Linked DNA regions of Drosophila melanogaster. The protein of the gene in region 1 interacts with the protein of each later gene in a pairwise test. Each region holds a gene or a part of one and is shown on either strand. Other genes may lie near its edges.

Region 1 (8,039 bases):
TGAATCAGTGACATCACCGATCATCATAACCCAATCATCTCAGCCAATCAGCAGAAATGACAGAGACCAGTAATCAGCAGCCTGGCGGCGAAGATTTCAATGGCCGCCACTCGGCATCGCCGGCCCGCACCATTGATTCGCATGATTCCACCACCGGCAGCATGGATACCATTGTGGATCGCAGCCTGAATCCTGAGGAACTCCATCAGGTGGTGACCACCATCGAACATAGCACGAATACCACGAACTTGGCGGGATCGGGCGGTAGTCTGACCAACTCGCAAATCGGCATGCTTCAACGGGATGAGAATCGAAAACAGCAGGAGGACCAGGAGCAGGCGCGCCAGGATGCCCAAAGTCACATCTATTCGAGTCCTGTCTACGATGAGAAGCCGCCGGCGGTGAAACTCCTATCCGCCGCCCTAGACTTGGATGCCCAAAAATCCCAGGCAAACAATGATGACGATAATAAGCCCAATCTTATTTCGCACCAAGAGTTCAAACAACAGCTGCAGGAAGCTATTGCTTCGCGGCAACCAAACCAGGTAGGTCCTACAAAAAGTCAACCAAAATTAATCAATTTGTATCAGTTGAATCACCTAATAGGGCTAGAGAATCTTTAATTGTCCATTTCTGTACTGCCTTGCTCTCATTAATCCTCAGACAATCGAATATTGTACCAAACACATTTTTTCTTCTGTGCAGGTGAATGGCACTAAGAGTGGGGCCACCACTTTGGACTCCAGGATCAGTCGTAAACAGCGCTGTCCACCGGAATTTATTAAGTACAAGGAGGGCAGCGAGGGTGGAGGCAGTGGCTCATCGCTTTCCTCGAAAGATCGGCGCAAGCGCAAGGCGAGCAATGAATGCTGCTCGGCATTTCCACTGCAAATAGTGTTGGGCACTCTCCAGTTGCTCCTGGCCATATCGCTGGTGGCCCTGGGATCACTTCTGATCGTCCGAGAGGCAGCGCTCTCACTGGCGGGATGCGGCATCTGGACGGGATTGATAGCAGCCGTTACGGGCTCCCTTGGAGTGGTGAGCATGCGCAAAACCCAGACAGCGTTTTTGGCCCTCAGTTTGGTCTGCATCGCCAGCAGCACCCTGGCTCTGGCTATTTCCGGCGTGGGATTGTCAAGGGACCTCAACAGGATGGCGGAGCAAAAGGGTGAACAGGTAAAGCCGGGCTCTTCGCATTGAGGCATGTTTTTTTAATGGTTTCATCCATTCTAGTTCGACTTGATCGATACCAACAGCGAGGTTTCCGCTGCCTGCGGCCTAATTTTTGCCCTGTTTCTTCATTTTGTGGTCAGTATTGTATCCGTCTATCGTTGCGCCCTTCAGATTTGCACTAAGTAAGTAAGCTACTCCTACTACTCCTACTTTTATATATGAAAAGTGGTTGTTGTCCACTTTTGAAGCAATAATAATACTGAATCTATAAGCACAATGTTTTTTTTTTTATTGTTTTTAAAAGCGCTTGTACGATATCCATTAGTTTTTTACCAATTGAATTTGGAATGTTGCGGCTAATATAAGTAAGTAAGTCTGCAAAACCGTTGTATTTATTTAGCAAAGTTTCCGGAAATCAATATAAAAGGGATATAGAAATTTATAATAACGGTTTTTAGACGGTTTACACAAGATAACTTGTTTCGTGACGACGTTTTCGTAATGAATTGGTATTTTTCGCGTTTGGTATATTGCTAGACACGGTCACACGGGCCAAATCATTCTCAAATAAAACTATATTTATATGTTTTTTTTTTTTTAATTGAGTTATATAGACTTTTAAAACCGAAAGAATGTATTAAAAGTGTAAACAAAAATTTGCTGAATACGCACAGTAAAAACATCGGCTGCAAAAAGTAAATCGATGTTTTCGGAAAACTGAAACTATCGATGTAATCGATGGTAACATCGATTTTTTTGCAGCTCTAAAAAAACTTTATTGTGAATGTGTAAATAATAGTGATAAGAAGCAACACAGCTGTGCGGATTGCGAAGCGGATAGTAAAGCAGACGGCGTACGAAACGTGGGCGCATTAGGAAAGCGCTGCTTGTTGGCCGTAGGAGCAGCAGGGAAACCAGAGAAATCCGGAGAGGCAACAGCGCAGTCGACTGCGACGCCCACGCAGCGGAAGTAATAAAAAAGAAAAGTGAAATCGGAAGTAGGGAGAGTTCGGTGGAGGAGGAGCAGCAGGAGGAGTTGGAAACGCAGGGGGAACTCGGGCTCTAGCATTGTGCATCAGGATCTGGAAACAAAGGAACCGCTAGGAGCAGTTGCCTCACAACGCTAGCAGCCACCGAAGTCATGCCGCTGGCCGATTCGCAAAAGGATCTCCGCCAGCAGCCTCAGCAGCAGCAGCAGCAGCAGCATGTGTCCTCCACCAGCAGCAGCAACAATGCGGAGCAGCAATGCAGCAGCAGCGGATTGGGTCTGCAGCTGCGCCAGCGCATGCAAATTACCTCGTCCGGCTGCAGCAGCCTGGCGGTCACGCCCATGGAGCACACGCCCACCGAGGACGATGAGAGTGGCGGAGGCAACAGCGGTGTCACTTCCTCGGTGACCACTGTGACATCATCGCAACGCCGCCAGCAGCTGCAACAGGTGCAACAGCAATCTGCTCTGCAAGCGGCCCTCGAGCAGCATCACATCTCACCAACAGCAGACTTGGATTCCGCTAGGAAAAGGCCGACGCATCGAACCTTGTGCCCGCCGCCAGAACTTATGGAGCTGAGTGATTCCGAGTCCCAGGGAGGCGTGGAAACTGGCGGTAGGAGAGAAGGGGCTACTGGGCGAAGTGCACCTGATTTAGAAGACACCGAGCCCCTATATGAAACAGAAAACGAATTCGAGCTTAAGGAAGTCATCAAGGAGGGTCACGACAAGGCCGATCCTTCCCAGTTCGAGCTCCTACGGGTTCTGGGCGAAGGTAGCTTTGGAAAGGTGTTTCTAGTGCGAAAGATCATAGGCAAAGATGCAGGAACACTCTATGCCATGAAGGTGCTCAAAAAGGCCACCCTAAAAGTAAAAGATCGCGTAAGGAGCACAAATGAACGAAAAATACTAGCGGACGTGGGTCATGCTTTCATCGTACGTCTTCACTATGCCTTCCAAACTCCCGGAAAACTCTACTTGATACTGGATTTTCTTCGTGGCGGTGATCTGTTTACCCGTCTATCCAAAGAAGTAATGTTTACGGAAGAAGATGTCAAGTTCTATTTAGCGGAACTGGCGCTAGCTATGAATCACCTACACACATTGGGCATTATCTACAGGGATCTGAAACCGGAAAATATTCTACTGGACGAGCATGGCCATATAGCCTTGACGGACTTTGGTCTATCCAAGCAGCCTTTGGATGGCTCAAAAACATATAGCTTTTGTGGAACCGTAGAATACATGGCGCCGGAGATCGTGAACCGAAAGGGACACGATTTTGCCGCTGATTGGTGGAGTTTCGGGGTGCTCATGTACGAAATGTTAACGGGGAATTTACCCTTTCATGGCCAAACCCGCCAAGAGACTATGAATCAGATCCTTAGAAGTAAGCTGGGCATGCCGGAGAATTTGTCGCCAGAGGCGCAATCCCTGCTACGTGCTCTCTTCAAAAGAAACCCCCAGAATCGTTTGGGTGCGGGTGCCCAAGGAATTCTGGACATCAAGGCGCACTGCTTTTTTGCCACCATCGACTGGGTGAGATTAGAACGAAAGCAGGTGCGTCCGCCTTTCATACCGGCGGTTAGCCGTGACGATGCCTTTTACTTTGATGTGGAGTACACCTCAAAGTCCCCCAGGGATTCTCCGGGTGGCCCGATCTCCGCATCTGCCCATGAGATCTTCCGCGGGTTCAGCTTTGTGGCTCCTGTCCTTCTGGAAGGTCAGTGTGCTGGCTCGAATATGTGCTCCACCAGCGCCAGTCCTCTGCATAGTATAGCTCCTATTCCTGCTGCTCCAGTGGGAGCCCCTCGAACATTACCTGGTGTTCTTCCCGGAAACTTCCATGCGGAATATAATCTACTGCAAGAACTGGGACGTGGAACCTTTTCAGTTTGTCGGTTGTGCGAGCATCGAGCCTCCAAGAAACATTACGCAGTAAAAGTAATCGAAAAGGCAGCTGTGGCCGCAGCATCCACATCCACTTCTGCCGATTGTTGGGAGGAGGTGGAGATTATGCTGAGGTACGGCAACCACCCAAATATCGTCACTCTGTACTCTGTTTACGAGGATGCGGGGTCCGCATATCTTGTGATGGAGCTGCTTAAGGGTGGCGAGCTTCTCGATCGGATACTTGCCGTGGGCCAGATGTGCGAGAGTGAGGCCAGCGCGGTGTTAAGGACAATTGCATCTGCGGTAGCATATCTCCATGAACATGGCGTGGTCCATCGAGATCTTAAGCCTTCAAATATGATATATGCCAGTATGCGGCAAACTCCCGAGACCCTAAAGCTCTGCGATTTGGGTGAGTGCGGAGCGGAACTAGTTAAATATATTTTATTATAGCCTTGCAGTAAATTTTCCAATTGCTGACAAACATGATTCACTTTAAAAGCTAAACTTTCGTAATTTTTAATTCCTTTAACTATTATTTGTTTTCTAAGTTACTTTGTTATTTGCAATTTTAAAGGTTTCTTTTCTCCAAACAGAAGGTTTTTCATTTTAAGATCTTATTTAGCCAAAGTTCCATCCTATTGCAATTGAAATCATTTGATAATATTTAAATTCAGAAAGCATTTATTTCTGCAAGGCTATATATTTTTCTGTGCGAGTATTTCTTGTTGGTAGAGCAGGAGTAACCTTCCGATTTCCGCTTAGGTTTCGCGAAGCAGCTGCGCGCGGACAACGGCCTCCTGATGACGCCATGCTACACAGCCAATTTTGTGGCTCCCGAGGTTCTAAAGAGACAGGGCTATGACCTGGCTTGCGACATCTGGTCGCTCGGTGTGCTGCTTTACATCATGTTATCCGGCCGGACGCCTTTCGCCAGCACTCCAAATGATTCACCGGACGTAATACTGAAGCGCATCGGATCAGGACAAATTGACTTCACAAGCAGTCGCTGGGCACTGATCAGTGTGCCGGCCAAAGAACTTTTGCGTCAGATGCTACACATAGTACCGGAGAATCGGCCGACGGCGGCGCGAATACTTGAGCACGACTGGCTGCGGGAGCAATTCGCCGGCGGCGTACAGCTTACAGAGTATGCGGTGGCGCCCGGATCCCAACTTTCGCTGGGCGCCCAGCAGCAGCAGCAGAATCACATCTCCATGGCCTTAAGAGGCGCTGTTGATGCCACTTTCCGGGCTATTGCCATACCCCAGGCGGCGAATGTGGGACCCGTAGAACTTTCCATGCTCGCCAAGAGGCGGGCCAAAGATCGAGCCAACCTGCACTCCTAATCCTGGGCGGCTGCATGGTGTCCGCGGCGCCAGGCCAAGCGGCAGATAGTCCGACTACTTTTCCGAATCTATAGTATTCTAATCCAATGCTGCTGTGCCAATCCGCGTCGTCTTGTCAAGGACAATGCGCAGAAGCTTGGTTCACATCCACAAACGCTGGGCAATCCTCGCCAACGCTGCCGCAGCGCCAAGCTGCGTGTGGTTTAGGTTTTGGGGGAATCGGCCTAACCTAAAGTATTTGACAAGTGTTAATTATTTATTTTATATGAAAGCATGCCAATATGCCAAGGCCATAACGCACTGTGCGGGGCATCTATATACACATATATATAACTATACAAATACTGATATACATCTATATATAGCTATTTATATAACGAATCCTAAAGCAAGGGCCTAGAGAGCGCGTGTGAATGTGGCGCCAGGATCATCCCAGATGATTCCTGAAACCACATTATTTATCCCAAACTGGAAATTAAAAAAAAGCCTCTCGCCCAAGTTTACATATTTTTAATTAAATTAATCGTAGCTAAATTTTTCAACATCACCGTGTTATTGTTGCTTAATTAAATTAATTAAAATGAAAAAAAAAATGGAAAAAAGTATTAGCAAAACAAACAAAAATTAAGAATAAAAGCCGCAATCCTTTTATATAATAATAACTTTTTTCGCCAAACTATAAAGGAAGAACAAAGAACCCAAAAAAAACTGTGTAGAAAGATAAGAAAATCAAACCACAAGAGTTTCCACAATTCTTACTTGGAATGTCAATTTGCACAATGAAATATGAAACTAAGCAAAAGATAAACATAACTACCATATTATACAGAATGTGTACATAAAGCGGAAACTGTGCTTTTCGGGTTTATAAGGCAAAGGATATTAGAAAAGAGTATTTTATTAATAATTCCCTAAACAATAAAAACCGACGTTCTTTCCAACACTGCACAAGGGTGCATATTGTTATTTAATTGTAATTAAGAAACGTAAATCCTGCTAACTTGTCTTACAGTCGCGAAACGCACAGTTTAGTTGTAATAACGCCGGGGAAACAGTTGTGACAACATCAAATTGGGTTTCCATTTTGTTTGCTAACGTCTTCCAACAGAAATTATATCAAACAATATACCTTTTTGCGCTGTAACCAGATATAGAAAGTTCCGACTTACCATTGGATGATTTAGAACCGAAACCGCGATATATTCCATCATACTCGTACTGAATACAAATAGGATAGCGTCGTATAAACGACTTGGGTTAATGCAGAGAATTCCATTTGTTTGTGCTAGTTTCTCTAAAAACTGCACGATCATCAGTTCCCAACAACTTGTTTCGACTCTTCGAAGACAATTCCAATTTTGTTGTATTTTTGCCAAGGAAAACTTGTTAAAATTATGCTAGAGGGAAATATACAAAAAAAAAAAAAGAAAATACAAGCAAAGTGGAACGAAATTGAATAAATTATGTAGAAGAGCCATGTGAATCCTTAGAAGCTATGTATGCCACTTGAAAAGCAGAAGTTTCTTGTTTGCGAGCTTGTGTGTGTGCATAAGAGGCTGTGTGTGTGCTTCTTGTAAGTGCATGTGTGTGTGTGCTAAAGGATTATTGTGCTGTGCCACTACTGAACTTACTGCTACCAAAAATAAAACAATAACTTCATATACATATTTACACCACCTAAACAAGGTTAGTAAAACTTAGAAATTTTTTAAAAAAGGATAACATCCCTTGAATAAAACTGTATTTTCGTGGTGTTATTAAAAGGAGTTGGAGGGGGAAAATGGTATGATTATCCTAAAGTACATATATAATTAGCTAGCTGCGGAGGGAAAACAATGTGTACACATTGACATATAATATAGAAAATATTTAAGAAGGATCTTGAGATGAACATTTCGCCTAATAGTTGTCACGATAAACTTTTGCAAAATATGTTGCGTCTACAGCAATGATTTATACTTAATTACCTTGTTTTGAAATGACGACAACCAAATTGAAGGGATACGTCGTTTCCCTGCTTCGTTTTTTAACAGATTCATACACAAATTATAAAACGAAGTTGAGACAGGCAGAAAAAGAATTTTAGTCCACGGGCTGATGAGAAATCTAATCCAGCGATTAGATTAAAACTCATGTATACAAAAGTGGCCTACTATGATAAAAACTGTAATCATTTATCAATAATTCCGAACGGTCTCTTACAAAAATGTTCGGGTTGCACAAAAAGGACAGAGACAACAGATAGTTTAAGCATACAATACAAGCAACCCACTTTAAAGCCAACTCTCGACTAAATTCCCCAAGAACATACATATATATCTTAATCATATATATGAATGCGTGAATATATTTTCTTAGTAGATTTTAACAGCTTCCAGACTATACATACATTCAAATGATTGAATTCCGATATGAATCATTTAATTAATAAACATATTCAACGAAACTGATTCGAAATTATTGTTAAGTTGAATTTTTCAAACCAAGCAGAAGGAACCTAATTGAAAAACAAATAACCAATTCGAATTGTTTCGATCTAATTGGGATATCCAAAATACATTTATAATGTCGTATAAGACAGCAAGTGAATCATTTTCATTATTTCGCTCGATTTTTATCTTTCAATATAAGGATCT
Region 2 (4,341 bases), on another chromosome or scaffold:
ACAGTCTGATAAAAAAGTACGGCTACCCGGCGGAGAATCACACCTTGGAGACGGATGATGGATACATCCTCACCTTGCACAGGATCGCTAGACCGGGAGCAACGCCAGTGCTTCTGGTGCACGGACTACTGGATAGCTCAGCCACTTGGGTGATGATGGGACCGAACAAGGGACTTGGTAAGATCATAGGCTATCTCCAAATGTCCCATGCTGATTGCGTTGCTCTGTTCCAAAGGTTACCTGCTCTACGATCAGGGGTACGATGTCTGGATGGCCAATGTTCGTGGCAATACGTACTCGAGAAAGCATGTTAAGTATAGCACCCACCATGCCAAGTTCTGGGACTTTACATTCCACGAGATGGGAAAGCATGATATACCCGCCACAATGGACTACATCCTCAATTCCACGGGCGTAAGCCAATTGCACTACATTGGTCACTCCCAGGGAACCGTTGTGTTCTGGATCATGGCCAGCGAGAAGCCCGAGTATATGGACAAGATCATTCTGATGCAGGGATTGGCACCGGTGGCATTCCTCAAGCACTGCCGCAGTCCGGTGGTCAACTTCCTGGCCGAGTGGCATCTATCGGTGAGCGTAAGTTACCCCATCCTAATTATCCCATCCTTTCAAAGAGCGTTTTTGCAGTGGAATACATCCAAATTTAATGTAAATTTAATCATTGTTTATTATAAACACGATCCAGTGCAAAACATCTTTCTCCTTCTCTTCTCATTCAATTTGTTCATGTTAACTTATATTATTTTAATATTTTAGTTGGTCCTCAAGCTGATTGGCGTTCACGAGTTTTTGCCTAAGAATGAGTTCATCAGCATGTTCAACCGGATCATCTGCGACGAGACCACTATTACGAAAGAGATTTGTTCAAACGTCATCTTCCTGACCACCGGATTCGACAAGCTCCAGCTGAACGAGACTATGCTGCCGGTAATCGTGGGTCATTCTCCGGCCGGAGCCTCCACCAAGCAGATGCAGCATTTTGGACAGCTCAACAGATCTGGCGGTTTCCGGCAGTATGATCACGGATGGCTCAGAAACCACTGGATCTACGGAACCATTGACCCGCCATCCTACCACCTGGAGAATGTTCGGGCCAAGGTGGCACTATATTATGGCCAAAACGATTGGCTGGCTCCGCCGGAGGATGTGGAAATGCTGAACCGCAAGCTGCCCAATGTCGTGGAGAAATATCTGGTGGACGACAAGGAGTTCAACCACTTGGATTTCATTTGGGGCATCGATGCCCGGGAACTTTTGTGGGATCGAATGCTGGAAATAATGCGAAATCATGAGAATTCAATTATCTAAAGGGGAATAGAACTATGGTTATAATTTAGTTATTCACAGTATATTATTATTAGTTAGGTATTTATTGTTTAGTAGAAACTAAGACGATTTACAACAATTTTACAACGATAAAAGCCAATAAAAACAACTTACAATTAATACATTTTTAATATTAATTCCCATCTTTTCTATTCCTATTTTTTGATATGAAAATTAGTATATATCTTTTAATTCGATTTTGCTAAGCAACAAACTTTTTGCTTAAGTTACATGAATGATATTTATTTCCGAAAGTATTTAAGTTGAGACCCAAGCGGTAAATGTAAATTTTATTCATAGGTTAAAGTGTTGCACTTTTATTGCCTACGTACAATCTTTTTTAGTATCCCAAAATTTTACTTGCTTCAGTTTCCACTTGGAACTTGTATACATCGGATTAGTAAAGTTTGTCTCTAATAAAGTCAGATGTCTCTATCATCGTCTTCGAAATTTCTTATATGGACCTTCTTTTTGGGCCTATTCCAGCTGGAAGCCAATGCATTTTTCAATCCTTTTCAACTGGCTATACCTTCATCAGTTTTAGAAGATGCACACTTGAATACGGTAAGTTCAAAAATCATTCGGGTTCCAACGATTAGTAACATTTGGAATAAAGCATAGGAAGTTTATCCAGATCTAAAAATCTAGATTAATATAGTGCATTATATTTCGACTTATAAAACATCTGTAGATATAGACACAATTTGTGTGAGTGTAAGTACATATATAGCTTTCTAGGTTATAGCTCTTACTATAAAGGTCGGATTACTCGCTGATTGGTCATAGTTTTATAATCTCATGTATTCTAAATACTACGTACACTCAATACTACGTACACTCAAAGTATTTAAGGGCAAATCTCTAGCGAATAGTTATATTAAGCCGTGTTTGTTTCTCCTGTTTTTGCAGATACAATTGATTTCCAAATATGGATACCCGGCGGAGAATTACACAGTGCAGAGTGACGATGGCTACTTATTGGGACTCTTCAGGATCGCACGTCCTGGAGCCCTGCCTGTGCTGCTGGTCCACGGACTAATGGACAGTTCCGATACCTGGGTGATGATGGGTCCTTCCAGTTCCTTAGGTACAATCGAATTTCATTCGTTTTTTAAGTGCACTCAGAATGATTTTCTTCCAAAGGATACATGTTGTACGAGCAGGGCTACGACGTCTGGATGGCCAATGTGCGGGGTAATACCTATACGAAACGCCATGTTCGTTACTCCGCCGAAGACTCCGATTTCTGGAACTTTTCGTTCCATGAGATGGGCATTTTCGATCTGCCTGCCATCATTGATTACATACTGATGCAATCTGGATTCGGTCAGTTGCACTACATTGGTCACTCCCAGGGATCAACTATCTTCTGGATTTTGGCCAGCGAAAGACCAGAGTACATGGAAAAGATCGTTATGATGCAGGCATTGGCTCCAGTGGCCTTCCTGTCCCATTGCCGTAGTCCCATTGTGAATTTGTTGGCCTCTCAGGATACTGCAGTTGCCGTACGTTTAAGATTTGTTTACACTTTTATACATTTTAACTAATATCTGGTTTTAGTCCTTCCTAAGCGCGGCTGGCTACAATGAGTTCCTGCCCAGCAACAGTGTGATTGATCAGTTCAAGCGTTATGCCTGCCGGGATATCATTTCCAGCAGTGTCTGTCAGAGTCTCTTCTTTATTCTTTTCGGTTTCAATGGCCAGCAAGTGAACCAAACGATGTTGCCGATCGTAGTGGGTCACACTCCGGCCGGTGCATCCATCAGGCAGATGCACCACTACGGCCAGCTGAGGAACTCTGGGAAATTCCAGCAGTTTGACTACGGACTGTTGAACTTCCTGCATTATGGCAGCCTGTCCCCACCGCCTTATGAACTGGAGAAAGTCAAGGCCAAGGTGGCAATCTATTATGCCAAAAACGATTGGATAGCTCCGCCGGAAGATGTGGACATGCTTTTCAACAGGTTGCCCAATGTGGTGGAAAAGTATCTCGTTCCGAATGAAAACTTTAACCACTTCGATCTGGTCTGGGGCAGAGATGCAAAGAGAATTCTGTGGAATCGAATGCTTGGAGTTATGCAATCAGTTGTTCCATACTCCTCCTACAATGATGGCGATAGTATCACAACTGTATTTGTAAATCGATTCTAATCAATGTTTTCAAATGTAAATGAAAGGAATTTTACAAAAACTATCAAATAAAAGCATTCGTCTTTGTATCTAAACAGTATTTACTCATTTTATTTATAAAGAATGTTTATCAGCAGTTGCAGAAGACAACAAGTTATACCGATATGATTATAACAAATATATTCAATAAACGTATTTGCATAAAATTTATTATATATTCAATAATTTTTTTTATTCACAATTTCTTTACCCGGTTGAATAATAAAAATAGTTATCGGCTATAAAGTCACTTCCATTGGATTTAATTTAATAGCCTCACATTTATTTATTTGAACTGCCTTAATCGCATAATTTAGGAGCGTGTTAGCTAAATAATTATTTTCGCTTGGAAACCGGTTTCGTTCAAACTTTATTAGCTTCAAATTCTATGACTGTTAACAATTATATGTGATTTATCAGTTTACCAATGCGCTCTATTCAGCTTTCACATCAATTTTACACGACCTTATCCAACTGTCAAGCTGTTGTTATATCCACTTCCATTTCCACACACACACACACACACACACACACCGTGCTGGGAAAACTCGTTTAATATATTCGAAACAATGAGAGATTGCTATTTTATGCATATTGATTGCCCTGATTCACGTGAGATCTAATCGGGTCAAGGAGGGGGCGACTAACTAGCATCGCCAACTTAAATTAGCCGCTTCGATCAAAAATGGCACACGACTAAATTCCATTGCTCAGTGGCAATTGATCGCGCAACGGGAGTGGTTCTAATTCTAAAAGCTAAACGACTGCCAATTAATTGCAGGAAGTTAATCAAGGCAGGATAGAAATAATTGGAAAAAATACAGA

What was found.
Region 2: the proteins of S6kII (region 1) and CG18301 interact in a two-hybrid assay, tested with the Drosophila melanogaster proteins (one large-scale study listed by BioGRID).

What each region holds. Positions count from the first base shown.
Region 1 is NC_004354.4:22,528,037-22,536,075, forward strand, and holds the start of S6kII (ribosomal protein S6 kinase II), read left to right. Parts: upstream 1-1,927; 5' UTR 1,928-2,314; coding exon 2,315-4,466; intron 4,467-4,819; coding exon 4,820-5,403; 3' UTR 5,404-8,039. Other genes in the region: CG17600 (uncharacterized protein), read left to right, coding at 57-545, 706-1,176, 1,234-1,355.
Region 2 is NT_033779.5:10,530,079-10,534,419, forward strand, and holds CG18301 (uncharacterized protein), read left to right. Parts: upstream 1-1,742; 5' UTR 1,743-1,773; coding exon 1,774-1,911; intron 1,912-2,256; coding exon 2,257-2,434; intron 2,435-2,490; coding exon 2,491-2,852; intron 2,853-2,907; coding exon 2,908-3,498; 3' UTR 3,499-3,569; downstream 3,570-4,341. Other genes in the region: Lip4 (lipase 4), read left to right, coding at 1-177, 236-597, 778-1,329.